Linked DNA regions of Xenopus tropicalis. The protein of the gene in region 1 interacts with the protein of each later gene in a pairwise test. Links are inferred from orthologs where the notes say so. Each region holds a gene or a part of one and is shown on either strand. Other genes may lie near its edges.

Region 1 (16,263 bases):
GTTAACTTATATTTTACTTCTTATCTTTCTATTCAGGCCTGAATACTGAGTTGTTTCTATGGCAAACTGGGCCTTAGCAACTAGATAGTTGCTGAAATTCCAAACTGGAAAGCTGCTGAACATGCTAAAGAATGGCAAAACTGCACGTAATGAAGACCATCTGTAAACTCTGTCTCAGAATATCACTCTACATGACACAAAGTTAATCTAAAGGTGAACAACCCCTTTAAGTTCTCTCCAGCATGAACCTGTAGAAAACAGTTGAGAATGCTCACGCATTTATTGTATTTGTGTAAAAACTGCTAATATCATAAAAACAGGGGAAAGGAATAATTAATGTAAACTGCAAAAGTGCTCAGCACAATTTTGCATGCATAGAGTTACAGGGAATATGTCCCCTTTAATGAGTTAATAAGGAACAAGTTACAACTAGGAGCAGTGTCACTGTTTCAGACTTAGGACTGGCTTATAAGGTGACTTGTTTCATGGGCTCCCTGCAGATTCCTTGGTGGGGAAGGCAGTTCCAAATAAATATTTGGATTTGTTGCCAGCAATACTTTAAAAAAAAAAAAAAAAAACCCACTGCCAGTGATCTTTTTCCCTTCACTCAGAGCAGCATATATTAAATATTAACTAAAAAGACAAGGAACAGCTGTTCCCCTCTCATACCCCCACACATCTGTTGGAATCACACATTAGTTCAATGTCACTTTACTGCTAATCTGGAGAGAGTTTTCCTGCAGAAAAAAACGTGCTGAAAGCTAACAGGGACATTTATCTTATCGCTTGTCAAGCGCACAATGCAAGTGCAAATAAACATTTCTATTATGGATTTTTTTTCCTTGCTATATTCATATCAAGCTCTTACTTTGCTGAGAACTTGCAGGGGTTCTATTATTCTATGAAATGTTGGTGCGCCAATGCCCCACAGTTGTCTGTTACTGGTACTGCACTCCTCAAGGGTAAGTGGAAACTGTATCAGTTACAATCAGAAAAGTTCAGGAATGTTGTGCCCTATTGTTTGGTGTTTATTAGCAGTTACATCTGCATACACTATGCCCAGGATACCAGTACACAGCGGGGAAAGGCCTGGACTGGGATTCAAAATAGGTCCTGGAATTTCAAGTACAAAGAGGCCCAAACATCCCCCCACCAGACCAATAAATAGTGACTGTCTCTGGCACCTTAAATTCTGGCATTTGCCAGAATTAATGTTTGCCAGTCCAGGCCTGCAGGGGGGCACCCAGAAAAACAAGAGGAACTTCTTATCCCATGTTAAATCTGCTTTTGATTCTTTTTGAACACCTCACCTCCTTGTTCTATATCGGAGTCCGTTAAATGCGTAAGAGAGAAACTGGCGATATTTGCTGGTGAAATAGAGAAACGTGAATAAGACGGGGTGTGCGTCCAGTTCTGATCAGAACTCCTTGGAGGCGGAGGTGAGAAGTACTTAGAGGGATTCATGGAAAGTTTTTGCCCACTGAAGCCCGTTGCTGGTTTAGTTAAAAATGAAGGCTCGGTATTGGAGAAATCATCGTCCCATTCAAAGCCGCCCCCTGAAAAGAAAAGAACAGCAGCGTTATTATATGAAAGGTATATAATATATCACATACACAGGAACCAGTCATTAAAATTGCCAGATTCAGAATAGCAAAAGTTTTAAAAAAAACACAAAAGCCAAATCTAAAAAATGTTTCTGTTTTCAGTTTGGATATTTACAAATTGCAATTGTACCACTGCTACTATATTTCATACATATTTTAATAAACAGTATAGAGGGAAAAAAACCAAAAAACTTTGTTCTTCACTGACACATAGTGCACTACGTTTCCCCTTAGGGCATACTAATCTAAAGGGGCTTTGTTTTACACCTTTTTAATATCTTAAATAGCCCCTTCTGCCGCATTTGCATTAGGTCTGGGGCTACCCACATGCTAAAGTCCAAGACCACGAGCCTGCTCATATCCATTGGTAGTGCTCCTTCTGCAAGTAGTCATAGGGAGAGCACTTTGGACAAAAGCTAGTTGCATGGAAAAGACCTGTTATAGCCATAGCTCAGGGTATGAATCTGGGCAGGCGCTTCTTTATATGTAGTCTGACAAAGGGGAAATAGAAGAGTTATAAAATTTCAGTTGAGACACTGGCGCAAACTTTCTTTACCTTCTTCATCAGTAGAACTCTCAGAGTTTGTAAACCGGTTTAGGTAACTTGGAGGGGGTGGAGGAGGAGTAGTTGGACAGCTACTAAAGATTTGGCTGTTTGTATCCACCACCTGAGAACCAAGATCTTTGGTTGGAGTTTCCTAAAAAAATTAAAATTACACAATAATTAAGTGCACCAAACTTTAAAATTCAAATTATTTTCAGCAAACAAGGGGTCAGCTATTTTGGGGCCACAAAATAGTATTAACAGGTCTGTCAGCTGTTCAGCCAAGAGGTGAAGTTTCTATAATATGCAATAAAGTAACGGGTCTCCAAGACATACAGACTTTGCTTTAGTCAACTGGAATAGCTCATCAGCTTCCAAAAATGTCTTATATTCAGTTGTTTATTCAATCTACCCAGTGATTGCTAGCATAAACAGGACTCTAGCAACCAGACACCTGCTGAAATTCTAAGGCTAATATCCCATGGAGAGATTAAGTTGCTGCGATTTTTAAAAAGCAAGTTCCAGCATCAAGTCGCTTGTTTTGTCTCTACATAGAGAAGAATATAAATCATCAGTACCTAAACAGATGATATTACTTAAAACCGCTTATCACTCCAAATTGCTATAAGACCCTTTTTCGAGCGATTTTACAGAGAAAGCATTGGGATCGCTAAAAGTAAAACCCACTGAGTGGGAAGTGGCTGCGATTTCCCCATATTGCACTGAATGTAATTTCTAATTGTGGGCGGGGAATATGACACTTGGATTTGTGGGAAACAGAATCGCTCTGTTGTTGAAATCTCTAGTAATCGCTTGTTAGGAAAAGACGAGCGACTTGTTGCTGGAACTCGCTTTTTAAAAATGGCAGTGACTAAATCTCCCAGTGGGACATTAGCCTAAAATGAAGAGTTGGTTAACAACAAGCTAAATAATTAAAAAAAAAACACAAAAATAAAAAAAATGAGGACAAATGCAATGTCTGTCTACATCATATGAAAAGCTAACCTTTTAAGAATCATAATTGTATATCTGAAATGACCAATGATGAGTCTGAATCTTATAATTAGCCAAATTCAGGATCTAATGTCAACAGCAAGAGCTTCATATACATTTAAAAGGTAATGCCTTCTTGCCCAACATCACACACATGGAAACACTCAAACCATTAATGATGGTCATAGAAACACAAACTGGGTAGCCAGCACCATATAGTTGGGGTATAGGGGTTGCTCAGCTTTAAATTAATCTTTAGTATGTTGTAGAGCGTGCTATTCTGAAACATTCTGAAATTTTTTGGGTTATTTAACTTTTTATTCAGCAACACTTCAGTTTGGAATTTCAGCAGCTATATGGTTGGTAGGATTCAAATTACCCTAGCAATGAGGCAGTAGCTTGAATGAGAAACTGTAAGATGCATAGGAAAGGGCCTGAATGATAATAAGAAACAATTAAATTGTAGCTCTACAGAGCAATCATTTTTGGCTGCCAGGCCAGTGACAGCCTTTTAAAAGCTGAAGAGAGTCAGAACAGAAATGCAAATAATTAAAAAATGAAGACCAACTGAGAAGTTGCTAATAACTAGTTATTCTATAACATACTAAAAGTTAATTTAAAGGTGAACTATTCCTGTAAGCAGGTCACTTTAAGCTTCTGATAAATAGATATGTTAAGCTAACATTTGAAACAAAAGTGGCAGAATACATCAGGCTTATCAAGGGATAAAGGGCCAGAATAAGTGTTTAACGTGCCGGCCATGGCTAGCAGACACTCACCTGATCAAATAAATAGACCGTGACATCATCAAAGAAGCTCACAGCTTTACTGCTCCTTTTCTCAAGTTCAGAGAACATGTCAGTAGCAGGTTTGCTTGATTTTATTAGGCTTTTTAGGTGCCTTCCGTCATCATTTTCCACATGAACAACAGGAACAGGATGGACGATGTCATCATCACTATCAGAGCTAAAACTGTTAAGATTAAAAGCCCTTATATCGTCGTCAGAGTCGTCACTATTTTCATCTTCTTCATCTGCATCCATGCCGTCCTCTGATGACAAATCCAGCAGGCCAGATGCATCGAGTTTTCCCAGGTATTTCCCTTCCATATCAGGCTCTTTCAATTTCTGAGCATCAGGGAGGCTTACAATTGGCATCTCTTTCAGTTTATTCATGGAAGAAAAGATCTCTGATGCTCCAAAAGGGTTTAGAAAATCCTCATCATTTTCTGGGCGGGTTGGTTCAGCTGAAAAATGGTTTGCATCATCTTCAGAACTGGGTGAAAAATCATTCCATTCTTCATAATGTTCATTCTCCTCTGAATCCTCATGTTTATTCAGGTCGGTTTCTACCTGTTCTACGGACTGCAGTGGAAAACTCGGGTCATCTTTTTGTGACACAATTTCCACCTCTGTTTCATTTTTGGCAGCTAACTCGGGGCTAATTACTTTATCAGTGGATTCAGACAATGATCCTGTTACTGAAAATGTGAGTAATACTGGCAGATTTGAATTGGTCTCTGGCCTCTTTTCAGGCTCAGAATCATTGTCTGAAAAATAAGCAGAGTCTCTGTAAGAACTGGGACTTACATCTGTAGGCATTTGGGTTTTGCCGACATCATCCAACAGATGGTCAGCATCTGATATGATTATAATCGGAGCAGTGGCAGCAGACACTCCATTCCTTTCATTAGGGTCATGGCCTAACTGCCCATTAGCATGAGATGTCCACTCTGGAGACTCCACGTTCTCCGTTTCGTAGCCGCTATCAGCAGGTTTATCGGAATGTCCAAATTTCTGATGCTCTTCACTTTCCAGAGTCTCTAGCACATTCTGAACATCTAAAGAGTCTAAAGAATCAGGGGTTCCTATGGATGGCACCAAAGACGGCATAAAATTTGAACTATCATCTAACAGGCTATCCTGACTTGTAGAATCAGATGGAACAGCAGACGTTACAATGAATGGATTTAGGTCATCATCATTCACACTGGCACTGTCTGTGTGGTGCTGGGGTGAAGGAGCTTCTACAGAGTTGAGGCACGCTTGCCCTAAAGGTGCATCATCATTAACCACTTTGGTGCTTGGCAGAACAAATATATTTTCATTGCTGCCTGATCTGTAAAGATCAATACTATCATCTATTGCAGCATGGCTCTTAGGAGCAAGCTGGCTGTTCGGTACACCTTCACTTGCATGGTTTACGTTCTTAACTTCAATAGCTGTATGTTGGTTATCTGTGAGTCCAGGTCTCACTGAGGTTACAAAAAAATCATTTGTCAGACCTTCTGTATTAGGTAAGGGCAAGGTTAACTCTGTTTTGAGACCACTCTCTTGCCCAGTTTGTGGAGAGTTATCAAAACTAGTTTTATTTGACTGGAGCACAGATGAATTTAACTCTGAAAGCTGGAGTTCCACATCCAAACTGTTTGTGTGGGAGATTTCAAAGAGCTTTTGCGAACTGACTTTACTTGAAAATTCTGCTTGAGGCTCATAGGTTTTGTTTCCCTTAAACAGAGAGTCAGATAACAAATGATTTTCTCTAAGAAACAGGAAGTTTTCAGACAATTCCTCCACATTTAGTACAACGGGGTCAGTCTCTAGAATATTTCCCCAAATAGTGGACTCTTTTTCAGAATATTTAAAGCTTTCAGAAAATGGAAGGGAGGGATTGTCAGCGTGAAGACCATTTTGTAGTGGAAGCTCACGGACAGTACTACCAAGAGGCTTTTTATCAGACCAATCAACATTCTTAATTGAGTTATAGAATGGAAAACTGTCACTAGAAACATGCAGATATTCTGGTAGATGGCGATGTTCAGCTTCAAATGGAAGAAAATCAGATTTTATGTTTGTTCCAGATGATTTGAGCTCATTAAGGGCAATAAACTGCAAAGTTGCACTTTCTGATTCTTGTTTCTTATTATCAAAGTCCAATCTGCTTTCTCCTGGCTCCTCCAATTGAATATAATATTCATTGGCAACCGAAACATTGTGGGAATCAAATACTGGAACAACTTCCGAAGCACCAAGGGTGTTGTCGCGCCCACTGTGTTCTGGCTTCCCTTGTTCTGCATCAACACCTGGCTTTTGTAAAACATCAACAGGCACTGGGAAAAATAAACTATTGTAATTGACCGTAGCATCAGAATCGGAGTGTCCCTGCTCTTCAAAGTGGTCTTCTTTGGCTGCCTCCCATACATACTCAAAGCTAAGCCCCTGGCTCGTTTCAGTAACAGTAAGAACTTCATCCATTTCTTGGCTTAGCTCATCGCCACTGAAATGCTCCAAGATTGGAAAAGCCAAGTTATTTGTAGATGCTTGCCGATTACTAGTGTTTGGTTTAAGAGAATTCCAACGTTGTTCAAAGTCATCTTCCGTCTCCTTCTGGCTCTGCATGCGGAGGTATGTAAGTAGTCTATGGACTTCTTCAGCAGTGAGTCTTTTGTCTGAAGTTAACCAACAGAACTGCAAAACTTCATACCTTCAACAGAAAGAAAATTAATTGGTTGAGCAGTGTATTAAAAACAAGAAATTAATCATTTAGCTTGACAATATATTTATGCTACCCAACATGGGGGTTTATAAGTATGCCCCTTATCTTCCCTAGGGAACTACATTTATTATGCAGCATTACAGGGCATGGACCCGCTGTGTCTGACCATTAGGGTCTACAAAGATACATATAAACATTGCTACATAAAGGATAAACTTAATAACAGCACATGAGTTGCCCTGTATAAAGAAGCTTTAAGGGTATTTTAATAATTAAGCAAATACTAAAGATTGCTTCTTTCTATAGTCTGTGACCCCAGGAATAACTATATCCCAGCTACACATTCCAGTCTTAATCTTAATAAAAGAACAGAACAAACATGCCTTGCTAAAACAGACTGATATGGCCAAAGATATGGCCAAAGTGATGGTTTTAAGGGCAATGGCACACAAGGCAATCATCAAATGTTTTTTTCAAGCCTTTTGTAGTTCCTCGGGAGGGGGGAAAAAAAATACATACATGTAATAAAAGGCACTAAGTTTGCCCAGGAACAGTAACCAATCGCACCCAATAAAAAGACTGCTTTTAAATTGGTGACCAGTAAATGCTACCTGCTGATTAGTTGCTATGGGTTACTGCTCCTCGGCAAACTTAGTGCCTTTCAGTACATGACACCTCAGTCATCATATTCACTTTAAAAATACCACAAGTAACAGTAACTTATTTAAACAGGTGCAATTCTGCATTTTCAAGAAATATTCACCTATCCCTTTAAAGGAGAAAGAAAGATAAAAACGAAGTAAGCTTTATCAGAAAGGTCTATGTAAATACAGCCAGAAGCACTCACAGAAACGCTGCACTGACTTCTCTAAAACAAAAAAAAAAAAAAAAAGGATTTCTTGTGTCTGTAATTCATGTGTAATTCAAAACACGCAGCTCTCTCCTGCTACCCCTTTCCTCAAGAATGCTAAGAACTCACTCCCCCCCCTTAGGAATGTGGATCTGAGCCAATCAGCAGGAAGCTGACTCATAGTCTAACTAACTGAGCATGTACACTCAGTCTCGGTCTCTGTGCAGGAGTGAGGCATTATGGGAACTTTCTTTACACAACTCAGCGTTTTTTCTTCCTGTTTGGCTTCTGATCATCTGAACAGGTGAAATATGGGGAGACTTAAGGGCACTATTGAGAGAACTGAAGGTATGCCTGCAGCTTGAGATTAACTCTTTATTAGCCTTTCCTTCTCCTTTAAGTACTGTGTTTGGAACAGCAAGGTACACAATAATGTTGGCTGCCATGCTAAAACCTAACTGTACAGTGCAGTACTGTTCAATATACTAAAAAGAAATCAGCTAAATCTATGTTTGTGGGTCCTTTAGCAGGAAAGGGCTGTTCAGACTTATCCAAGCCTGCTGGGATGTATGACCACTCAATGGATGGATATATCAGTGGTAAGTCTTGCAGTGAATAATAGCAAGCAGATACATTTGTGTCATCACACAAGGAGACTGAAAAGATAAAAGGTTTTTGCGGACAAGTTATTTGCAATTGAAAAAGCCTTCACACTCCAGTATATTAGAACAGTTTACGTTACCATCTGTCTGCATACGGTTGTTCCAGTTGCGGATTAGGAAGTTTAACTTCTCTCTGTTTAATGACTTGAGCCAAGACTTCACTGTCTGACAGATCTTCGTAGGGAGTGGCTGCATTTTCAAATAGCTCCCAAAGTGTTACCCCTAGTGACCTGGAGATAAGAAAATCATCAATAGGTTTTTTTATGCATTATGATATTATGTATCCATATGTATTGCAGTTTGACATGTGGCACTCATTATTGGACCTTATGTGCTTCAATCATGGCACTCTGCAGTGGACATCACACTTTTTTTTTTTTAAATAAAATCTAGATAAATTCTGGGACTAAGCCACATGTATAAAGACAGGCATTTTCTGGGCACACACACACACACCTTACCAAATATTACTGGACTTTGTCTGATCTGCCACTAGTAATTGATCCTGATAGCTTGTCACTAACTCTGGAGCAGTCCATCTAACAGGAATAAACTTTTCCTCAGTGGTCTCCATGTAGTCTTCCTAAAATGTCAAAAATCTATTAGATTATATTACAAAGAAACAAAAAAAGTTATATTCATTTTTCATCAGGACACAGAACACAATCCAGCCTACAGTGTGTATGTAGGTTTCTGTTATTAAATAGCATTTACACGTAGCCCATTCTCTTGTTTGCATTTGAAATATATTTACAAAATGTGTTCTGTGTGGCTTTTCTTGCTAAGTGAAACATGTAGTGAATCCATAGGGCCACAACAACTTAAGGCTTAGCTCAAGCAAGTTTGCTTCTGTTTTCACACCAAAAACCCATGAATAGCCACTTCTAGCTCCAAATGCAAATGGACACAAAGGTGCAAGGAAGCCCTCTATACTTAACACATGCTGATCAGGCTTAAAATGCAATGTCACCTTTCTGCCTAATTTTTCTACATGACACCACAAAAATTAGGTGTATAAGCAAGATCATTCAGCTGGCTTCTTTGTCATGGGTGCAATTTGCGTCTGTGTAATCACACACATATATGGGAGAAACTCTGTATTGTGGCTTCAGCAAATTTTAATTCGGGGCTCATTGGGCAAATTTGTACCTGGGCAGTAACTCATAACAACCAAATTAAATTAGATGTTCACTTGAATTGTTCAACATGGCTAAAAAATACCAATCACTGATTGGTTGCTACTGGGTTACTACGTATGGGCAAATTTGCCCAGTGTTTAAAAGAGACCCCAATATTAGATAAGGCCATGTCGGCCAGAGGCTAAATCTTTTTATTTACAGTATGCCTGAGATCTAATATGTCAGTGGCAGGAGCCACTTTTATATAAAGAGGTAGGGAAAGTGCCCTCCAGTGAATAAATTAGTTAAAAATAAAATTGTAATGCAATTACTTTTGAACAAAACAGCTTCCCAACATGGGAGTATCAGTGTTCTAATCAGAATGTTGACACTGATTTTACAGAAGTGAAGAAAAAAAAACCCCAAAAACCCTACTTACCTTATACCTAGTGAATCCTATGCCATAGTCTCCTATTTTTACGGTTAAATCGGATGTAACATAACAATTCCGGAGCGCCAGATCACTGAAAAATACAGACAACGTTTAAAAGCGCGGCTAATGCAAACGTAACAGTTATTTCACCAAATCAGAAAACCAAACTCAAAACAGATTTCTTTAAGCAGATGGTAGCTACCAGTATACTCAATGAGTTATGATAAAGTTACATTTCTATGTGCAAGGAAACATGTTAAAATAACATGCACAAAGTTAATCAGACATTAAAACAATGATAAATGCGAAGTCCAAAGCAGAGTCTAAGATGCTTTTTATTTACCACCACCAACAAAATCACTGATGCTGGAGCTTTCCCGCACACTCAGACGGCATCAGGATATTGTTGCCAGAAGTAAACACATGGCCTCTCAGTGGAATGGAGACGGTGGTTTAATTCCACTCATTCAGACTTCTTTGCAATACACATCCTTCATTTAAAGTTCATGAATTATAAAAAAAATAAAGATTTCTGCAAGAAACTGTTCTGAATAAGGTGTAAATCATCTTCATCTCTGCTCTTTGGGTGTATGCCTCTGTTTGCTCCTGTGGCAATATTGTTTGGGTATGTGAACATTTATGGAGCTGTATAGGTTTACTAAATGTTTATAGTGCTAGGCAAGCCATTTTACATCCCATGTGCTAGACCAGGGGCGGGCAAACTTTTAGGCTCAGGGGCCACATTGACTTAAAATTTGACAAACGGACCGGGCCAGTGCCGTCTCCGCTCGTCAGTCCCCTAGGTTTTGCGTTGCTGCTAATAGTACATACCTGTGCACAAAATTGTGTTTGTGCATTATGGCAAGTCCTGCTGCTATCTGACAAGCCATTCGCTGGAGCAGCACAATTTCTGTATCCCCTTTCAATTTCTCTCTCTGATTGGTTAAATAAGTTTTCAAGTCACCCTGCAAAAGAAAAATGGAGGCAGAAGTTAGTGGGCTCATTTGCCGGTTCAGAAAAACTTCTAAGTATTCAACAAGGTTATTAAAGTTTTGCAGTTTAATAGTTTTGGACACATATTAATGTATTTGAAAGGTAAACTACACTTTAAAGAAGAGTAAGGCAAATCATTAAACAGAGAAACAGTACATTTTATAACTTAAAGGTCAAACATAAACAAGACTTGTATTTTGAAACTTTGATCTCCTTGTTCTTGTCTCTTTGCCACTTAGCACCTAATCTTTAATGTAACTGTACTTTATATTATTGTAATTACCCGTTTCTGTATTACTGATTTGCTGTACAGCGCTCCATACATAAGTTGTGCTACATAAATTTAAAAAATACATATAAATCTATTGCCCCCATTGCATAGGTCAGAAATGAACAAAGGGCCCTAGCTCTGCAAAACAGAATTGCTTATAACTGGGCCATGAGCTCCATATATTTAGTCTACATTCCCGCTGATAGACTCATTACCTCTGTAGCTACTATACTACACTACTATAATGGCAGTCAGTTTTGGATACTGCTTAGAGATGCAAACAATTCACCTCTAAAAGCAGGGAAACTAGGTTCATTTCTATGGTAGCCCTGGGTACAAAATTCCCAGTACAATACTACTACTACTACAGTACTTTTGTGAGAAGGCAGATGTTGCTTCTCTGAGCATTTTGAAGCATGCCTGTAAACCTCAGTTTCCTAAAAGGCAAGTACGTAACAGGAATAAAACGGCTTTCTTGCAAACCACTTTTTTGTAGGGAGACTATTATTTTTAAATGGTTAGATGCTGCCACCTAGCTCAGCTTAGCTGTATCCTTATCTTTTCAGCTTTACTGCGCATGTGCACATGTGAATCTGTGCTAAAGGCACCATGGAAAAGCTAAGTAAATTGTCAGTGTACCTGTCACTGCAGCTACTTTACCCTTGGTAGGTGTCTGACTTCAGGGGTGACCCAAAGACCCAACAGGCTGGGGCTTGGCTTACATATGATTTGTTCATCTAAACTTTGCCCCTCCGTCCAAATTTAATGTTAATAAAGGTGGCCATACATGGTAAGATCCACTTGTTTGGCGAGGTTCTCAAATGAGCAGATCTTCTCCCGATATCAATCTAATTTGATCGTTTGGCCCTAGGGACCTGATTGACACCTGTACGATTTTTGGGCAGGTATCAACGGGGGGGGGGGGGGGGGTTGTCGGGGGTCTCATACATGGGCAGATACGCTACCAGAACAGTCAAAAGAACTTGAAATGTGTAAAAGTGTCACTAACCCTTTAACACTTAGTGGCAGATTTGTTTGATTTCAGGATTGTTTTTGGCTACTATTTCTGAAATTTGCAGCAGGATATAGGTAGTATTTTTAGTACATTTTTACTCTACTGTGCACAAGTGTACGCCCAAGTGCAGATGAATAAACTCCCCTGCGGCATGGTATTAAAAGGAGAGCTTTTATTAAATCCTGGTCCAAATTGCACTGGTTTGTGAGCTACCAGATAATTAATAACTAAATGAATTGCTATTTAACCTTGTATTGTGACTCAGTTTTATGCAGTCCCTAAGCTCAGTAACAACAGCACAAAGCATATGAATCAATAGAAAAGATAATGGGGAACTGCTGGGGCAATGGTTCTCAAGCTTCCTAATGCCGCAACCCTTTAATACAGTTCCTCCTGTTGTGGTGACCACCAACCATAAAATTTTTCCAAAGACCATCGGAAAATGCGTTTTCCGATGGTCTTAGGCGATCCCTGTTAAAGGGTTGTTCGACCCTCAAAGGGGTCCCGACCCACAGGTTGAGAACCGCTGTGCTGGGGGCAAGTAGTTGCTTTGGGCTGGTATAGAAGCCCATAACAATGTGCAGCGATTCTAGCCTACTCTTTACTTCTCCTTTAAAAGGACATGTTCATCTTAAGCTTTATTTCACAGCTTGGACATGTTGGTGGTAGAAAATTATTTAAAAGTAGCACACAAGTATTCTTTTTAAACCATTGGCACTGCTTAAGAAGACATACTGACATTTATCACAATTGGGGAAGTTGTATTTACTGTATTTATTGCTTGCTATGTAAATTGGTTGATGCACAATATACTTGTAACATTCTCCTCATTCTTGAACAGTTGCATTCAGCCTTAAGGCAGCTACCTTACACAGGCAGTCAGATTACAGATGTGCTAAGGTTAGGGAAATGGCAGGGTTACATATAACCACAGAGTTGATTTTCCCAAGCAGCTGGCTTTAGCAGATGGCCCACCAAAGTACAGAAAGCACAGTCCCTCGCTAAATGAATAATTGCTTTCCTGAATAGGTTTAGTTTAGATCACATACAGTTACTGCTGCTATTACCCTAGAGACATTGGACAGAGAGCATATCAACCTATGACCCAAATATAAGACGTGCAAGAGTAATGCGATAGTAAGGTTACTACTATGCTGCCATGAGCCGCTAGGGAGAACAGTATATCATAAATTCCTTACATTTTACACATTACAATACCCAGAGATTTGCCATAAATACCTCCAGACTCTAGTCATTCAGGCTAAGGTGTAAAGACACTCACCTTACTATAAATAATAAAACTTGTTATAAAGCAATCATACTTTTTGATATACTGACTAAATGTTAGCCATAAATCTTTATAAAAATGCCTCCTCGTTCATAAGAAAGACAAGAAGGTAACTGACCTTGGAATAGCATTTAATGAAGTCTGTTATGAATCAGACATTTTTACTAGAAATCACAAATGGCAGTGATTCAGAAAAGAAAACTGAAAGGATGCAGTTAAGTTCTTGCTCACTAAAATAACAATGCTCTAGATTTACCAAATAATACATAATATATTTTAAACATTTTACCTTTTCAAAAAAACAGACAATGACTGATGAGCAACATGCACAGCTGAAGCCAATATACTCCTGCCTTTAGTTGCACTGTATCCTGGTGGGTGATCGCTGCCAGAGAGCTAGGAAGAGGAAGTCAAGCAGACAGACATGGTGGCTGCCGACCCCATTGTGCTAAGCTACTTTTTATTACCAGTTGTGAGGCAATGTCAGGGAGTGTGGGTGGTACAATTTAAATGGGGAGAGGCCCTATAACATATGCATCTCTTTCTTTGTCCTTTAACTTATCAAAGCTTCACACTGATAACTATTCTGTGCAGACAATGACACACTGTCATGCCCACAATTATAGAGCACAATGGAAAAGATATTCCACTGGTTAAATGTACCAGACACATGGTTGTTAATAAAAAAAGAAAAACAAAAAAAAAAAACACATTTAAAAAAAAAAAAAAATCCAGACAATGCACAATATTTAAATGAACAAGAGATGCTTCCATTTGCTATCTCATGCCCTTAAGTACAGGTATGGGATCAGTTATCTGGCAACCCATTATCTAGAAAGCTCCAAATTACGGGAAGGCCGTTTTAAGCACATAATTCCAATTTTTAAAAAATGTTCTTTTCTCAGGAAAACCCCAGGTCCCACGTATTCTGGATAATAGGCCCCATACTTGTACTATACAGTCATTTTGTTTACTTGACTTACCAAGTCACACAACTCGAACACCAAGAGATAGGGCATGGTTTCAATGCAGTGCCCAACACACTGCACAATATTAGGATGATGAAGAAAACTGAAAAACAATTGACAAGTGAATAAAAGATAAGTAAATTCAGCCACAATCATTTTAGCCTTTTATATGTATTAAAACACACGTTTTATTTGATGGGCTACTGCCAAAATTAAATCCTGTATTTAGTCAGATGAAAGTCACCCAAAATAGCCCTGGTATCTTTCATTCAAGTTCAGGTACATTAGATTATACTCTCATTATTTAACAAACAGTAAACATGTTTTTTTAAACCTTAAAAATATAGAAATTGCAGTGTAGAGTGGAGTAGCTTGAATTTCTAACTTTGCCCTATTTAGTTCAAGAAATACCAAAAACCAAAGATTTTTCATGACATTGTGTATTTAGCACAAGCCCTATTCAACTCATGTTGATTAAGGGTGTATATACTGTCCCTTTAAAACAAATTCAAGATTTACAGCACACCTTTATCTAGATGTTTGTGGCTAAGGATCATGGTACACATGGCAAATTATTTGCTAGCAGAGATGCAAAAAACCTGGACCATGTAGCCTATATTTTACTTTATTGGAAACAGTGGCTCTGACCTATAGAGAAAAGCTTATATCCCTGCTATGAATCCTAACAGGACTTGAGGTGCTTATCAGAAAATGAAATAGAAATCTCGGCACATTACATTTGCCTAGAAACAAACCTTGTTCGAGCCTTCTGTCAGCTAAACAGACCTTGATTCTTTTCAGTAAAGATTCAACCACTAATAAATTATGGAAACATCATCGTTTCTTATGGACCATCTCATAACTTAAAAAGTTATTGCTTGGTATCCCTAAGGAAGGATTCTAAGGTTTTAACAAGTCTATAGATAGTGTTTAACCATCTGCCAAGTAAAGAATGCAGAAGTTCTCACACATTAATAACTGCAATTTAGCGCTTGTTAGTAAATTAACCCCTACGTAAAAATGCAGAATTGTGCCTCATTTGTAAAATTTAAGACACAAACTAATTATTTTCTTCTCTACAAGCAGTTCCAAACACAGTACATGCTACACGTATGTATATATATTCATCTCTTGCTATTTGCACTTGCTTATCCTGCCTTCAGACAGCATTTGTCCATTTACCGTCATTTTGGGAGAAGAGCGACAGGTGATTTGAGGTATTTTGACTGCTGCAGTTCTCTGCTGAAGCCTATGTCAGCCCTTTTATACATCTCTGATTATTTCTGCCTTCTTAAACAGTAGGGGACAAGATACATAACTTCCCAGCAATAAATGTACCTGTATGGCTCTCCATGGTTTATAAAGTGATCTTGCTCTTTGGGGTTAGCGCTTGCCTTTAATTCCTTCACAATCACTCTTGCTACACTGTTTTCTCTGTAGATCTCTCCAAGCAGTACCTGTAAGAAACAGAATTATGGAGTCTATTACATAGTGACACAAACAGCGTATACCCTTGCTTACTTTAAATTGAGAGGAAGCAGACATGCAATCTAGTAGTGTAGCAGGCAAATAACCACAACTGCAAAGCCCCAAAACTCAGTAGGCATACAAATAAGGTGTGTACTTGTGAGCAGGAATTTGGCTGTGTTCCGATTGTATAATTTTAATAAGGAAGATTTTCATGTTTGTGTTTTAGCCTTTTTACTCAAGTTATGGCCATCTGGGAGAAACAGAGCATAAATAAAGCGGTGTGTTTTTGGTGAAAAAAGCATTAATAAAAAGTCTTGTGAACACTGATAAATCACTCAAATGAACCCTGACATATGGAGTAGATTTACAGGTGCTACTTGCACTGCTATTGCTAAGAATAGGCAAAAACATGTACATTTTAGTAAATGCAAATACTAAAGGATGACATCTTATTGAAATGGGAAAAAACCTGAATGTTTAGGGCAGGCACTGCAGTTCAGAGCCTTTAGAGGAGTCCACACAAGATTAAAGGGATTTGTCCGAGAAAACATGTTTTTCA
Region 2 (16,263 bases), on another chromosome or scaffold:
ATTTATATTACAAGACTATTAAAGAAAATATATAGATATTATGATACCATCTTAATGTAGAAACTATTAAAGCTAGCGCAGTTTCCTTAAAGCTACCAATAAGTCATGTCTGCAGTATCTGCTTACCAACTATGTTTTCTTATCTGTGATGGACTTTTTACTTTCTGTTCTCAATTTATTGACCAAATAAAATGACTTCATTACTTGTTATTTGTAAATGCATTTGTGTATTGGTTTGTTAGTCTTGGCCTAGAGCTTCGAGTCACGTGTGAGAATGGGCTTGCAGATATAATCCCTAGATGTCCCTGTTGGCATCACTGCAATCTTACTCCTTTAAAAAATGAATATAAAACTAGTCCTTGGAAGCCTAAAGATGTTGGGAGCAATCTGTGTGAGTTGGAAGTGACAGACAGATTAAAGGAATACTGACATAGGAAAATATGATTTTCTAAAGTGCAAACAGATTTTTTTATATTTCATTTTGACTTTTTACATGGGGCTAGCCATGGTCTTCATTTCCCAGTGTGACGCAACTATGTGACCTGTGCTCTGATAAACTTCAGTCACACTTTTCTGCTGAGCTGCAAGTTGGAGTGATATCACCCCCTCCCAGCAGCCGATCAGCAGAACAATGGGAAGGTAGCAAGATAGCAACTCCCAGAAATCCAAGTCTGGCTTGGGACTCCTCCAGTTACATGGGAGTAGGAGAAACAATAGGTTACCTGAAAGCAGTTCTAATGTGTAGCGTTGGCTCCTTCTGAAAGCTCAGACTCAGGCACAATGCACTGAGATGGCTGCCTACACACCATTATTACAACTTATACATTTGTTGGTTAAAGAATAAAAATTTTAAATGGTAGAGTGAATTATTAGCTATGTAAACAATGTAATTTAGAAATAAAAAGTACTCCATAAAAATCAATACACAATCCCATTAAGAGTGAAGAGTTTCAGAAGCTTTCTGCCCACATGGTACAAGTAGGTAGGTACAAGTAGTTGGTACTTACAAAGCCACTACGTGGGCAAGGCACCAAGCTCTGTCTGGCTGACGAAGCTTATGATTACAACTTTTTTTTATGAAATGCTTTGCATTCTGTGAATGAGCCCAGTACCTGAAAGCTAATCATTTTAAACCAATTGCATTTTTTAGCTCCAGGACCTTGGGACTTTTCCCCCAGCTCCGCACCGTACTTGCATAAGAACAGCATTCAGTGCCGCTTCAATAAGCAGGCATAACAGAAAGCATTTCATGCTCACAGAAAAGCATATCTTCTCTAAACATTCAAGCACATTTCCCTTCCCCTGCTTATTCAAGCAAAGCAAAAAGGTGAAAAGTTGTATTCTTTCCGACTCATTCCATTATCACTTTGCAATTAGTTTTTCCGGCATTATGCGAGGTTTCATTCTAAGCACCATGACACCTTTGTCAGGGAATGTGTTTATTTTCTAACAATACAGTACACTTTATGAGAGATCATTTCAGGTAAAACATAAATAAAAAAAATTTACAGCTGAGATCAAGTTTTAAAACCAACATCTAATAAAATCTATATTATTCAGGAGAGAACACAAAGAAAATTGTTCCACACAAATTAATTCATTTCATAATGTTGAAGTAGGTGATTTTACCAACTGAAAGCCAGTGCCATTTTATTCATGAGCAACGTCAATGGGCAAGTTAGTGGAATATATTTATCATGCTGTGTAAAAAGTGGAGTGAAGCATTACCGGTGATGTTGCCCTGGACAACCAATCAGCAATTAGATTTCAACAGTTAGAAAACCAAAGCAAAGCATCTGATTGGCTGCTATGAGCAACATCACCGACAATGTTTTACTCCACTTTTTACACAGCATGATAAATATATTCCACTAACTTGCCCACTAACAACCCTTAAGGCTGTGCTTGTTAATGCCACACTGCTCACACGTGTTTCTGATACAGATACCTTGCACTAAGGGCATGGGTCCCCAGGAAATTGTAACATACAATTTAAAGGGGTGGTTCGGCTTTAAGTTAACTTTTAGTATGTTATAGAAGGCCAATTCTAAGCAACTTTTCAATTGCTCTTTATTATTTTTTTTTTTTCTAGTTTCTGACTCTTTCTAGCTTTCAAATGGGGGTCACTGACCCCTGCAGCCAAAAAGCTGTTGCTCTGTGAGGCTACAATTATATTGTTATTGTTACATTTTATAACCTATTTTTTTTTTATTCAGGCCCCTTCCTATTAAAAGAAAACTATACCACCAAACAATGTTGGTCTTATATACTGTATGTATGTATATTATTATTTAAATGTATTGCACAAACAAGCACATATATGAAACCCTGCTTCATCTAAATAAATCATTTCATATCAATATACTTTTTAGTAGTATGTGCTATCGGGTACTCCTAAATAGAAAATTGCCATTTTAAGAATTAAGGTCCGCCTCCTGGGATCATAGGATTCACAGTGCACACAAACAAGCCAAGGCACACATACATGCTAGGCCCCATCAGCCAATTAATGGACAGAGTTTTGTCTTTTGCATCCACACTTCCTCCTGTTACAGTTAGAGTTGCATGATTTCCTGTCAGGTGATCTCTGAGGGAGCACACAGCCCATCACTAAATGGTGGTTCAAGGGATGAAAAAGACAGTATTTACTGATATATATTCCAGTTTGGCAAGATTATTTAATAGGTTACTTAGCATAATATAAACTATCTGTTGGTTAATTATTCATTCTGGGGGTATGGTTTTCCTTTAATACCACTCCCTGGTTGCTAAGGTAATTTGTGCCCTAGCAACCAGATAGATGTTGCAACTCAAACCTGGAGAGTTGCTCCAACAAAAAGTGCAATAATTAAAAAACTATAATAAAAAATAAAGACCAATTGCAAATTGTCTTAAAATATTACTCTCTACATCATACTAAAAGTTAACTCAAAGGTGAACAACCCCTTTAAGATGCTCCTTTGATGCAAGGCCAACATCTAACAACTCTAGCCAGCATTTTTTAAGAGTTTGCTTAAAACAAGTAATTACGTACAGGCAGGTTATAATTTAAGACACTTTTTATAAATGTAGATATTTATCATTAACAATATAAACTAATTCCCTCCCTTCTACATTGCTGATATCATCAATAAGCTGATGCAGTTCTTAAGATTTACACAGTGACACCCCAGGGGGGCTACCTTAGATGTGGTGAGGACAAGTCAAAGTGCAATGCATTCATTCCTTAAGTTGCCTGCTGTAAATTTCATTTTAACATAAACCTATCGGTGTTGCATTCAATTTCAACCTAATTTAAACACCAGTCTTGGTCTGAGGACTTCAGTCAGTTAAATAAGTGAATGTGTTGATAGGAAGGTTGGTGTAACTCATAATAACAAGTTATTGTTATAGCAAGAAATAACTATGGAGCCATACTGGAAGGGAAGAAGCTGGCCTTTACGAAAATGGCATTCAGAGAACACCATAAATCAGTGTCAAAAAGAAACCTCATTCAATCACATTTTCCTCACAAACACCAGGTTAGACAAGTTCTTTTAAGGTGCATATGAATGAATAAACAGTAAATGGCTGAAACAAATGGAAAGACAGAGCACTTGCTATCCCAAATGATTTCTTGGTATGTATTAGGCAGATGGCTGAATATGGAATGAACCATTGTAAGATACCTAAAAATACTTCAACATACTGTGAGTCTTTTATTTAAAAAAAAAAACATGTGGAGTAGCCATTGCTCCATCTGTATGCATTGTCAGTTAAAGTACATAGCACTTTGTTACCACACATCAAAGCGCAGTTTAAGACTGTTTAACAATGTACCCTACTGTATGAACTCTAAATATACCTTTCTGCTATTATGGGACAATATACCAGTCACATATTGAATCAGGAATGGTTCTAGGCCTCACTGCTATCTTGATACAAGAGTCAGCTCTTGAAATAACAACCCCTGCGTCAGTATCTTACCATACGGTGTCTGTTTTTCTCTCATTGCTTCCAGATTTGAAAATAAAACTATATTTATTTAGTTAAAAGCATCATATTCAAGCACTTAAAAGAACTGTCTCACTTCAAGCAATAGTACCAAATGCTTGATAAATGAGTCTATATCCCTGTTTACATTTTTTTGCCATTAGTCTTATTTGTGCTGTCATAACATACTCACAGTTGCTCATTGATCTATATGTGCGCTACATGGTCATACAGTAACGTTTCAATGACCAATTAAAGAAAAAACCAAATAAATATTAGTGGTAACAACAGCCACACACTTTTTACTACAGAACAGAAATCATAGAACTGACCTGCAAGGCCATAATATTGTAATAAGTACTAGGGATATGCAAACACATATGTTTCTACTTTAAAACAAAAAATTAGGTAAAATCCAAATCATTACTTCAATAAATACTTTTAGCAGTGTAGTATGATATTGTATATGTAATTATGTGTAATAAAGCTGGCCACACATAGAGCTCAAATTGATCAGCCAGGGCAGCCCCGACCTCATGTTTCCAAGCTAATGAATTAAAATCAAATTAGAGCTGCTTAATAATCTTGAAAATGACATGGGCTGATGGTCCAAACTGAGAAAGATCACACACTGATTCTAAATTAGAAGCGGTTGCACTCCTTGCGTATCCGGATTCTTGCAGAATTAATCATATTGCACACAATGCTTGTTAAACCATCTAATCAAACCATTAGATCTCTTTAGCAGGCATTAAATTGGAACTCCACACAAAAAATGACAGTTTGCATAATGAATGAATGTAGTTCTAGGCAATGTTACCATATACATTAATTAAGCCTTTTATAGTGGTAATGTTATTTGTAAATGTAGTTGATATAGACTGTTCCTTCAGACTCAGTAAACTGTAGCAGTATCCATTTCTTTCCAAGCCAAGACTCCACTTCTCACAAAGCCTTGCAGGTTAAAGGGGGAACTCTGGCTTCAGAACCAAAATTTGCCCTACGCAACACAGAAACCCCTAATATACCTATCACTGTAATATGTTCATTCAAATCATATGAATAAATACCATTTTTATATGCCGAAATCCAGGTGCAAAACCTTTTTGCCTTTCTGCATAATTTGAAGCCCTGGCAGGGAAGGAGGGACTAAAACATTGATGTCAAATTGATGACAAATTGTAACAACATCTCCACAGCATGCAGGACACAGCTTACAGACATGCTTTGCACTGTAAGGTTCCTTTCCTTACTGACATCACATGTGCAGGGAATTGTGGGATTTGGCGGATACAGGCTGAAGGCAGGATGAGGACAGTCAACTACTGTTACATTTTCTTTGAGTCTCAAAGTAGTCAGACAGATCAGCAAGAGAAAAGGGGGCCAGGCTTAGGTAACTGTTCCAAACTATATTATTACATTAAAAATCATGAAAAGGCTATATATTTTTGATTGATGTATACTGAATTTATGAAATTAAAATTACATGTACTTTCCAAAAAGCTTAAGTTGTGTTTGGGTGGAGTTCCCCTTAAGTGACGGACAAGGCATTGTGGGAATTGGAGGCAGTCAGGTGTAGCATGGCAATGGCCTGTATAGATACTGCTTTCAACAGCAATAACATTCACACATTATTTTAAAATCAAATAAAATAGTTTATTTTGGAAGGTTAAAATGACATTATGGAATTGGTTTCATTATTAAGGGAGTTCCCCTATAAACAGGAAGAGCTGATGCAAGGGTGATGTGCGTATCAAGTAGAACAAGCTAGCATGGAGTACAAAACTAGATATTAATGGGAATGTAATTTTTGCTCCTTCTAGCAATTCTTCAGCAGGTAATACCGGCTGCTCTGAAAAGCAAACATTTGGTTCTTTGTTATGGGTTACTAGTCTAGGAGCAATCTCTGCACCTGTTCTCACTGCCCCCCATGGGACGTGTTTAAAGTAGCACTGTCTACCAGTATTAACCAGAAGGCACTCTCAGAACAACAGGTAGCATGAAAAGTGCATCATGGTTTAGTGTTGATTTAAATACATTGCCTCAAACATCCCTTAGCACACTGAACAACTGCATTATATATGTAAGGCCTCGTTTTCAGATGCAACATAAATAAAACAGTCTATATTTTACTAATAAAAAAGGTGCCTGCAAGGGCCACTTCACTATGAAACTACAACTACACCAAAATAAAACAACTAAAATACAAATTACTGAAGCCCCACAATTAATGAAACCTGTTCACTTTATAATAAAACTCTCTATTACAAGATTATGGAATGTTTTGCTGCTCTTGCAGAGGCCGAGTTCCCTTCTTGTCGGCTGCAAGACAGTAACTAATATCCATTGATTGAGAACTATTTCAGTAGATTTTGCAGCATTGCTGTAGCGTAAGTTGGCCGTGCTTGTCTACTTTCAATCGCGTTGCTCAGGTACTGAATTCCTCCGCAGCGCTCCCATATCTCTTCAAATTGTCGAGGTAAAATCTCAGCTCCCCTTTTTCTTGTTAACCCAGTTTCTTCTAGATTCAGTTCACACATCTCCATATCATCCTTCCCTAAAAAACAATAGAACACCTTACATTATTTAAAGAATTCTTTGTGTGGTGCAAGCAAAATTGTTCGTAGGGTGTTAGACCAGTGGATTCATTTTCCATACATGCACTAAACTTTTGGGATGTGCTGTTTTTTGCTTTGGAAAAAAACAACCTTTCTTAGAGCCAGAACAAGGAGGAGACACAAGAGGTGCATGGCTAGAACATGCCTAAGGGCACATACCTCTTTGCCTACCCCTAATTCGGCTTTTCGAAGCTGTCTGGCAATGAAAGATGAATGACGAGCACATCGATTCTATCACACATTGTAATGCCTTCACCTCCCCCGCACACTGCTCCTCAGCAACTCTCCCCACCCCAGCTCATCAATTCACTGTACATTTAACATTTTCAGGGGTCCAGAAACAAATGGGGAAAATGTAAAATCAGGGAAATGCATAATGCATTATATTTATATTGGCGGGACCACAGAAAAAAACATGTAAAATGAGGGAAAACTTAAAATCAGGGGATGTAAAATTGAAACTCATATAAAATAAACTCAATAGGTTTGTTTGCCTCAAATAAGGATTAGTTATATCTTAGTTGGGATCAAGTACAAGGTACTGTTTTATTATTACAGAGAAAAAGGAAATAACTGTTAAAAATGTGAATTATTTGATTAAAATGGAGTCTATGGCAGATGACCTGTAATTCGGAGCTTTCTGAATAATGGGTTTCCGGATAATGGATCCCATACTGGTACAGCAAAATGCTGAACACTGTGCGTGTAGAATTCTCCCATAGTTATAGATACTGTGTGCCTCTACATCTAGAATGACCCTGTATAACCCTGTTATACAAGACAACTTGTGACAGTTTTTCTGAACAGGAAATCAGAGCTTATTAAAATATTGGGGTAACTGTTCTAGAATTTAAGATCTGTGTGAAAAGAAAACAAAAAATATTAAGAAAATGTAAAACACTAATGTTATGGTGTACAGTAATAAAAACTATAAATGAGAAATGCAAACATTTGTACTGGAATATAGTGTGTGTGTGTGTGTGTGATATATATATATATATATATACACACACAGATATAATACTCACCGGCTACCAGCATAATGGGAGGTTTGTCTGGATGAAGTTCCATCTGCCGAGCTATCCAGGGACCATCGAAATGTGCGTACCACCACCCTTTCTTCTTGTTCTGCGGATCCTTGTATTGGTCAGCAGGACGGATGAAAGGAATGCGGAAGTAACGCTGCTGCCTGTTCATTTCGATCTCCTGTTGCCTAGCGGGGAGTTGCACTACTGGGTTCTGTTGAGCTATTACAAGAGAAAAAAATGAATGAACAAAATGAATATGAAAACTCCTTTTATCAAGTGGTTTAAAATTTTAAGAGATTTGCTGATTGCCATTTGTTAGGGTGAAACCGAAGCACACTCAGTGAAACCTAAAATATTCAGATAGCTACTTGAGAGCAGTAACATAATCTCCAAACAAATTGACAGTTAAATGATGGCTCTGACCTACACTTTTCTATCGTGCCTATATTTTTTCCTCAGCGGAAAGTATGGCATAATAGAAAATCCGTCGCACCACTCATTTCATACAGCTTTCAGGCTTCTTAGAATGACTGAAGCTCACTTACTCTGCCTTTACCATAACTACAGTAATATTGCTCACAATCATGCCTCTAAGAATGGATTTCTTATTTAGTAGAAGGGAAAGGCTATAAACACTATCTTTACCTAAAGACATGGGTTTTGGTATCAGATTCTCAGTCTGTTCCTCCATGTACACTTGTCAGAAAGGAAGAGAGGGGCAGATGCATTTGGAGAGACAGGTTAATGAGATAATGGCCCCGTAAATGTTACAGTGGATAAAAGTCATTTTAAATACACGTCTCTATTCATTTCATTCCTATCTAATATGTAGCAGACTAGAAAGAAACTCTCCCAGGTATTTACACCAACAACAGTAGACTTTTATTTCTTGGCGGGACAAGGCAGGAATGTTAAGAGGAACCTATAACCTCTACTTTTGTGTCCGACAACAAGCAAAACCCTCATTTTGCTCAGGGGACCAGACAGGAAGAGCTTCTATTTTCTACCCATCATTTTCACATTTTCATTACAGCAGTGCAAAGAAATCACAATCTTGCCAGAACTTCTTTTCGGTCATGAAGATTTGTAAGAGAGAGTTGAACGAGTGTGGGAAACCCAGAACTCCTCAGTCATTACATGATAGTGGCTATAAAACTGGCATGATCCTTCAACATGGGCTTTTTTTTAGATGTTCTATGATGGTTTCAGTCAGAATGTCTTCAACAACCTTGCATAATTAATTTTGGAGGAACAGTGACACCGTAAAAAGTATGAGAAACACTACTATTTTGTGTATACCTACATTGCTACACAGGATCATATATATAATTTAAATAGGACTAGATGGCACAGGTTAAATAGCGGAGAAAAGATGAGCTCTATAGAATGCCATTATATTCTACACAGCTTATCTGCTATGTAACTTGAGCCTATTCTCCTTTAAATGGCTGTCCCCATGGCTACACTGCATCTTATTTATATAAACTACAGTAGTCCTTCTGAAGCAAACACGCCAGTTTAACCAGTGCAAGGAAGCAGTACATTATATTTTATTTACTTTATTTATTCCTGTTACTATTTCTTTAAGGATATTGGAAGGAAGACTCTCTATATAGCCAAATTACCTAAGGAAGACAGGTAGACTTTAGCCAAAATGGACCATCCCTCGATACCCTGTGTCTATTTAAATTAGAGTCTTTAAATACATAGCCTGTTTGTTCTGTTGCAATGTATACAGCATCCTTTGAATAGAGCCCTGTCCAATCATACATCACCCCACTGATTGTTCTATTTTTTTTAAAGGAAGCCTCATAACTTAGTATAAATAAATCCACTGAGATGTCATTCTACTTACAACAGATACCTGACTGTGCTCACTCAGAACCAAAGAGCTACAGATCTCCATTTTTCATGTTATATAAATGTTATGTTATATATTATATATATAAGGCTTGGCCTGCTCAAATCAAAGACTACTCACAAGAGACTGTATTTAAAAAGTATCAGTGTTAACTACTGTATGTGGTGTACTGTATGATGTACTATACAATTACAATCTAGAGATTTCCTGATCCTAAGAAATAACAGCCCATTCACTGTCTTTAGAATTTCACTTGATTTCCTAACTAGTAGAAATTGGATAATACTTTTCAAACCCTGGTCTTAACAAAACAGCATTTCTAAAACATATTGATATTCAAATACATTTATCATGGCAACAGAGCAACAGAACTGTCTCTTTTTCATTTTATATAAAAAGGGTAGGACCAGAAGAAAATCAGAGTACAGAGGACCCATTATCCAGAATGCACGGGACCAAGGGTATTCCGGATAAGGGATCTTTCCGTAATTTGGATCTCCATACCTTAAGTCTACTAAAAAATCAATAAAACATTAATTAAACCCAATAGGATTGTTTTGCATCCAATAAGGATTATTTATATCTTAGTTGGGATCAATTACAAGGTTCTGTTTTATTATTACATAGAAAAAGGAAATCAGTTTTAAAATTCTAAATTATTTGATTAAAATGGAGTCTATGGGAGACAGGCTTTCCGTAATTCGGAGCTTTCTGGATAACGGGTTTCCGGATAAGGGATCCTATACCGGTATATACAGGGATGGCAATTACGGCTCCACAAAAAGCTCTAGAAAATGGGGGGTGTAAGCTACATAACGCAGCACAAAGGCCTAGGTTATATATATGACTTAAAATATTCAGTTTGTAGAGGTGGGCAAAAGGGCAGAAAAACTAGCTCTTAACTTACACATGAGCACAGTTAAATAGCACGTTTAATCCAGTAGAGGGCTGTGATAGTGGGAGATGAAACAGTAGAGCACAGAAATAATTAACACTTTAGTTGTGTAACAACCTTTTAATGACAACCCTGAAAATGTAAAAATAAAAATTCTTTTTGAAAAAACAAGGCTCAAAATAAACCTCTAGAATTTCTCTACATTAATACTTGCACTAAATACCCTTTTCTCACTAATGGAGGTTTTTAACAAAAATCCAGTAGATTGACATCTCGGGCCAGGATACAATGTAATGTGCGTCACACCGTGCATGAAATGGATCCGTCACAATGAAACCACAGACACATTTCACTTTAGAACGCTACACTCCTACTATCTTTTCAGACTTCAGTTTTTGTCACCCAATAATTCTGACAAGTCTATTTCTAGAACACAATGTAGTTGATAAGGCTTGCCTAGCATGGCACTAAGTCTTAGTGACATAAAAGATTTTAACACAGTGCTGATTTTCTAAGCATTAAATGAACAAAAAAAGTGAAAATCAATCACTATGGGTGTGCGCCTGCAATCAATAGCTGGGTGCTGTATGTTACACAAAGAGGAAGATATGATATATTTATTGAGTATATGCCCAAAACCAGAAGTTAGGAGGAAAATGATTAACAATGTCACTTGAGGAGATTAGTCTCCCCTGTAGGAAAACATAGGCATCGCTTTGGATTTCGCCCAACTTCTCCATCAATCTTCTCTTTAACGTGACATTGCCCTAAAGCAGGAGCCCCTAACTCCAATCTGTATCTCCACGGTGTATCAGTGAAATATTTCAGCATCTTTCCAGTGTCACCAATAAAGCACACTGGAGAGCCTTCAAAACATGGTAAAGCACCAAGTGGATAGATCAAAGGATTAGAATAGCATATGCTGTGCACTAGGGTAATTGATGTCCCTTTATGATGAGAAGGCTTCTATATACTTCAATTTGGACAATTCCTTTAGTTGTTAAAATTGACTCTACTGTTAAAGGGATTAGAGTGTTTTTTTCCCACTTTCATCCAAGGCCTTCCACCTATGGCAAAATAACAACAGTAACCATTTCCAACCACAGAGCTGGCGTGCCACTCCCATCAACTTGCCCCTCCACCACTAGAGTTAGAATGCATTGCGAGAAGCAAACCGGGCTTTACTGATTAGTTTTTCTTAAAAATATAAGTAAGAACGTGTGACCATAGCTTAAGAAAACATTCTGTCTGCTTTTTACACTGACCAATAAAATACTGTTAATGGCTTCAGTTAAGGGTATTCAGCCATAGCATTTAGTACAGACACACACACCTGTAAAACTGTAAATACAATGTAGATAAAGCTTTACTAGGCTGTGCATCTCTTGATTATATGAAGGGATATTCTGGCAGTACAGCTCCATTTACTGCAGATTTAGACCAAGAATTCTTTCCAGTCATATAAAAAAGACAACCAAGAATGTTGCTATGCTTCCCGAAGGCCAGTCTTATTAAAGCACAGAGTTAATTATAGGCAACTGAAAACCTGGCCAGTATATTTCATACATGCATCAGCAACAATGTTTTTTTAAGCATGTCACCGGACGCATTTCAATGGCCTTGCGTGAGACCAGCTACAGTAAATCTTCATGTTCTAAACCACATGGATGTAAGTCTATTTCTGTATCCAACACCATTTTTCTCTCTTCACATTAAGCTCTTTGATACAGTTATGTTTCACACAGAGAAAAAAAACCTCTAAGCACTTCATTAGTTATGAGCTATGTGTCATGTCAAGGGATCAGTATAAATGACATCCCCTCTTAGCACCCGCCTGACAATACATTACAGTTTCTCATACCACTGTATGTACAAGCAGTCATATCTGCTTGTCAGAGTTAAATAGTTCAGCGGAAGCGCTGCCATCAGTCACCGCCATGATTCCTTATATCTAACAAGCTGTAGAGCTGTAACAGCAGGTACAGTTACTGTTCTGTAAATAAACAGCACTGATCTATTACTTTGCTCATAAGACATTTCCAATATTGAGGCCATTTGGGAAAGACAAATAAAGTGGATATATTCTGACAGATAGTGTATGTGTTTTAACATAACTGTAGCAAAACTGGGTTAGTAGCAGCTTGGAAATGATCTCCCACTTCCCTTACGTTAGTTCCTTTACCAAATCGGCACTTACGTGAGTTGTTCATGAATGGGGCAAAATCTGAAAACAGACATTGTTGACATTGAAAACATGCATTGCACATGCCGTCAGTTACATGAATTACATATCGATGATCAGGCCTGTTAATGGGAAGGAATATTCTCGGTATTTAGGTTCATAGGTGCCAGCATGCAATGGTTTGCTTTTCTTCAATATATTACAAAGAAGTATTTATTATATTTCCATGGTATCTTACATATATTACATATACATAAATATTTTTAAAAAAATGTTATGTTTAATTAACTAAAATAATACATAGCCTGATATTTTGTTCTGAATAACAGCAGTATCCAGCACTTGGTTATAAGTGACTTTGCAGAGGCAATTGTGTAGACTTTTATAATAATGCATATAGAAAAATGGAAAGAATGGCAGGTTATACAAAGTGAACAGTAAATGACAGTCCTTGTGAAACAGAAGATAATCAAGGGAATAAATAGGAAATTTCCCTCTAACAATTTATACATTAGTTTGTGAAGCACCGTAAGAGCTTCCACTAAGATTCACAACCCTATTTAGAGGGTTTTTGAGGAGTGGATTTCCAGGAGACACAGCAGGGGAATACAAAAACAATATGGGGTTGTCCGGTGTAATTATAACAACTGCCCAATGTGTAACAAAAGACACTATATTTGCCCGGGTGTAAGAACCCATTGCAACCAATAAAACATTTGCTTTTAAGCTGGTGACCAATAAATGCTACATTCAAATTGGTTGCTATAGGTGGTAAGAACTATAAGAAACATTCCGCTATATATTACTTAATCCCTTAAAGGAGAAGGAAAATCACTTAGCTGGTGGTACCCAGGGCTGGTGCACCTGTTAGCAGAAAACTGCACCTGGCCAGGGTACTTGTGAGAGAGTGATCCTCTAACAAGAGGAGGTATTAAAGTGAAGAACTTTTAAAATCAGGTTATACTTTTGTGAAAGAGAGAAAAGTATGATCCATAAATGCAAAATCATAACTGTGCCTACAGAGAGGTTGATAACAGCATAGAATTCCCAACTGGAATGCTATAAATATGAGAAGTAATGACGAGTGTCATGATGACTCCTCTCTTATTCAGGGATTGCTTGTATTTATTAATATGGAAGCAGTATAAAGTGAATGTAAAGGATAAAGTGCTAGATCTCATTTTGTACATGACACTTTACTTACCATAGTCAGTGACAGATTTGGGGGCACGCTGTTCTGTGTCTGCATTCCTTTTCTTGTTCTTGGATTTCCAAGCATGATAAACTTTCAGTCTTCTGTGAAACTCTTCTCTACATGCTGCCAGGAGCTCAATATCTGTACAATTCAAAAAGAAAAGGCGTTATGGGCAGTGAGTCTATTAGGAGGAAGGGTGATGAATTTCAACAGTTAATCACTTTATATATTTCATAATAAATAGCCGCAAACCCAGTGATGCAAATTTATATGTAATATTGAAAACATTTTCTGTTCTCTTTGAAGTGTCAGCACCTCTGCATTGCAATTAAAAATGCAAGATATTATTTGTCAAGCAATTCCAGGGAGTTGCTAATCTGACTTAATTATTTAGGTTTTTCCTTTTTCTAAATGAATGCACTGTAGTCTATTGATATCCCCTTTTCATAAAATGACTTACTGTAAAGCCTATGTGTTTGTTTCACTCTGCTATTAATCCTATTAAAGGGTTTGAAAGCCTTCAGTGTTGTAAATAACCCATTTCAAAAAGGTCCCATGGCAACTCTGCCAGAATACTCTCCAATAAAGATAACAAGAATTTTCATAAAGCGTGACAGCACTGCTGCATTTAGCAAAGAAGGAATTAGATTTTAGCACCAGGAGAAATCGGGAAACAAATACATTCTGCAAGCTCAAAGAGAAAAAGCATTATAGCGTTTTTTTTTCAAAATGTAAGTGAAGCGATTTTTGCTGCGCTGGTACTAAACATTTCATATTGTTATTGATGATAGAGTTGCTAGTACAGCTATAAAATAAACAGAGCTACATATTCATACGGACAAAATATTGCTTTCATCCTACAGCCAAATATCAGCCACTTAAAAGATGGTTTTCACTGGGGTAATATATTTTCAATAATAAAAAGTAGTATCCTGTTGGGTGCTATATAAGTATGGGACCTGTTACCTGGAATGCTGGGGACCTGGATTTTTCCAGATAAGGGTTTATTCCGTAATTTGGATCTCCATACCTTGTCTGCTAAAAATCATTTAGACATTAAATAAACCTAATAGGATAGTTTTGCCTCCAATAAGGATTCATTATACAGTATCGTAGTTTGGATCAAGTACAAGCTACTGATTTATTATTACAGAGAAAAAGGAAATAACTGTTAAAAATGTGAATTATTTGATTAAAATAGTCTATAGAACATGGCCTTCCTGTAGTTCTGAGCTTTCTGGATAATAAGTTTCCGGATAATGTATCCCATACCCTTATATTATTTGAAGTGTTTTGGGTTTATATTTGACCATATTTTAAAAAAAACTGAAGAAACAAATCCTCACCCCATGTGTTTCACAAAGACACATTTACTGTGAAAATTTCAGAACACTGTGCCATAATTAACTAATAATTAAATCCAGCAGATCAATACATTAACAACAGCTTGTAGCAAAAGCAACATACTGCGGACTTCCATTACTAAGTACGCTTTGCGGAAAAACTCTTATCCCGAAATCTAGGCCACATACACGTTTCTAAATCATTCCCTTTAAAGATCTAATTGACTTTTCTGTCCAAAGTTTCATCTTTTCATCCTTTGTAATACACCATTAGAAGCTCTAGTCTTACCTGGAAAAGCCGCATAGAAACTGTTCAGTCCATTTTAAAATACAACAAGACAGTAAAGTCTCTAATGGCATGTCAGGAAGAATAAGTTATATGATGAAAGGAGAAATTAACCATTGAAAGACATCTACAGTTTTACCCATGTGACAGTGTTTTGGATCACAAAGAAAGGTTGCCCTCCTTAATCAGAATGGAGAATACGCAAAACTGATAATGATGCCTTAAAGCGCATGGACAGAACTTTTTCTAGGAACTTGCAGAAGGCATTTATGAGAGTACATAGATGTGAAAAAAGGGATTCAGGATGTAGAATCCACCTGAGAACTGCTACATCTAATTCTAAAATGCAGGATAAGAGCTCTGTGAGTGACAGAGGAAGATGAGGTAAAATTGGTTGCAGAGGAAGGAATTGTGCTATTTCTAGGCATAGTTAATGGGAAACACTGAAACAGCCAATAAGAGTGCATTATACAAGGCTGCCAGGGTCTGTTTTGCCAGTTTGATGCCCAAACATTGTTAGGTGAAATTCTGCCTACAGAAACATTAGAGAACATAGAATACAAGCACAAAACAGACAAGTATAACAGTATAACAAGTATAACAGTTTTTTTTTTTTAATACTAGAAACATAGTCATCCATATAAACAAATATCCTTTCAAATTGTCCACCTGCATAACAAAGAGTATATACATCCACCTATATGATTTTAGATATTGGGCTCCAGGCAGCTCCTTTTCAATTTGCCCATTGCTTTGTTTATGCTCAATCTACTCTAGCAGATTGGTAAATGTAGCTGTGGGGTAAGTGGATAGTCATGTGTGGCAGGGCTTGGGGGACAGCAGAATACAATGCTTTGGCAGTTGCACTATATTCAATGACATT

What was found.
Region 2: the proteins of lmtk2 (region 1) and myo6 interact in a two-hybrid assay, tested with the Homo sapiens proteins (2 studies listed by BioGRID). The link is inferred for Xenopus tropicalis from reciprocal best matches to the Homo sapiens genes LMTK2 and MYO6.

Annotation. Positions count from the first base shown.
Region 1 is NC_030685.2:25,909,526-25,925,788, reverse strand, and holds part of lmtk2 (serine/threonine-protein kinase LMTK2), read right to left. Parts: intron 15,692-16,263; coding exon 15,573-15,691; intron 14,338-15,572; coding exon 14,250-14,337; intron 10,665-14,249; coding exon 10,531-10,664; intron 10,109-10,530; exon of another isoform or gene 10,049-10,108; intron 9,791-10,048; coding exon 9,706-9,790; intron 8,732-9,705; coding exon 8,610-8,731; intron 8,379-8,609; coding exon 8,229-8,378; intron 6,625-8,228; coding exon 3,921-6,624; intron 2,303-3,920; coding exon 2,161-2,302; intron 1,557-2,160; coding exon 1,311-1,556; intron 1-1,310. UniProt on the Homo sapiens protein: Phosphorylates PPP1C, phosphorylase b and CFTR.
Region 2 is NC_030681.2:90,516,628-90,532,890, forward strand, and holds the end of myo6 (unconventional myosin-VI), read right to left. Parts: intron 13,893-16,263; coding exon 13,761-13,892; intron 12,599-13,760; coding exon 12,572-12,598; intron 7,838-12,571; coding exon 7,619-7,837; intron 6,530-7,618; coding exon 6,330-6,529; 3' UTR 5,607-6,329; downstream 1-5,606. UniProt on the Homo sapiens protein: Myosins are actin-based motor molecules with ATPase activity. Unconventional myosins serve in intracellular movements. Myosin 6 is a reverse-direction motor protein that moves towards the minus-end of actin filaments.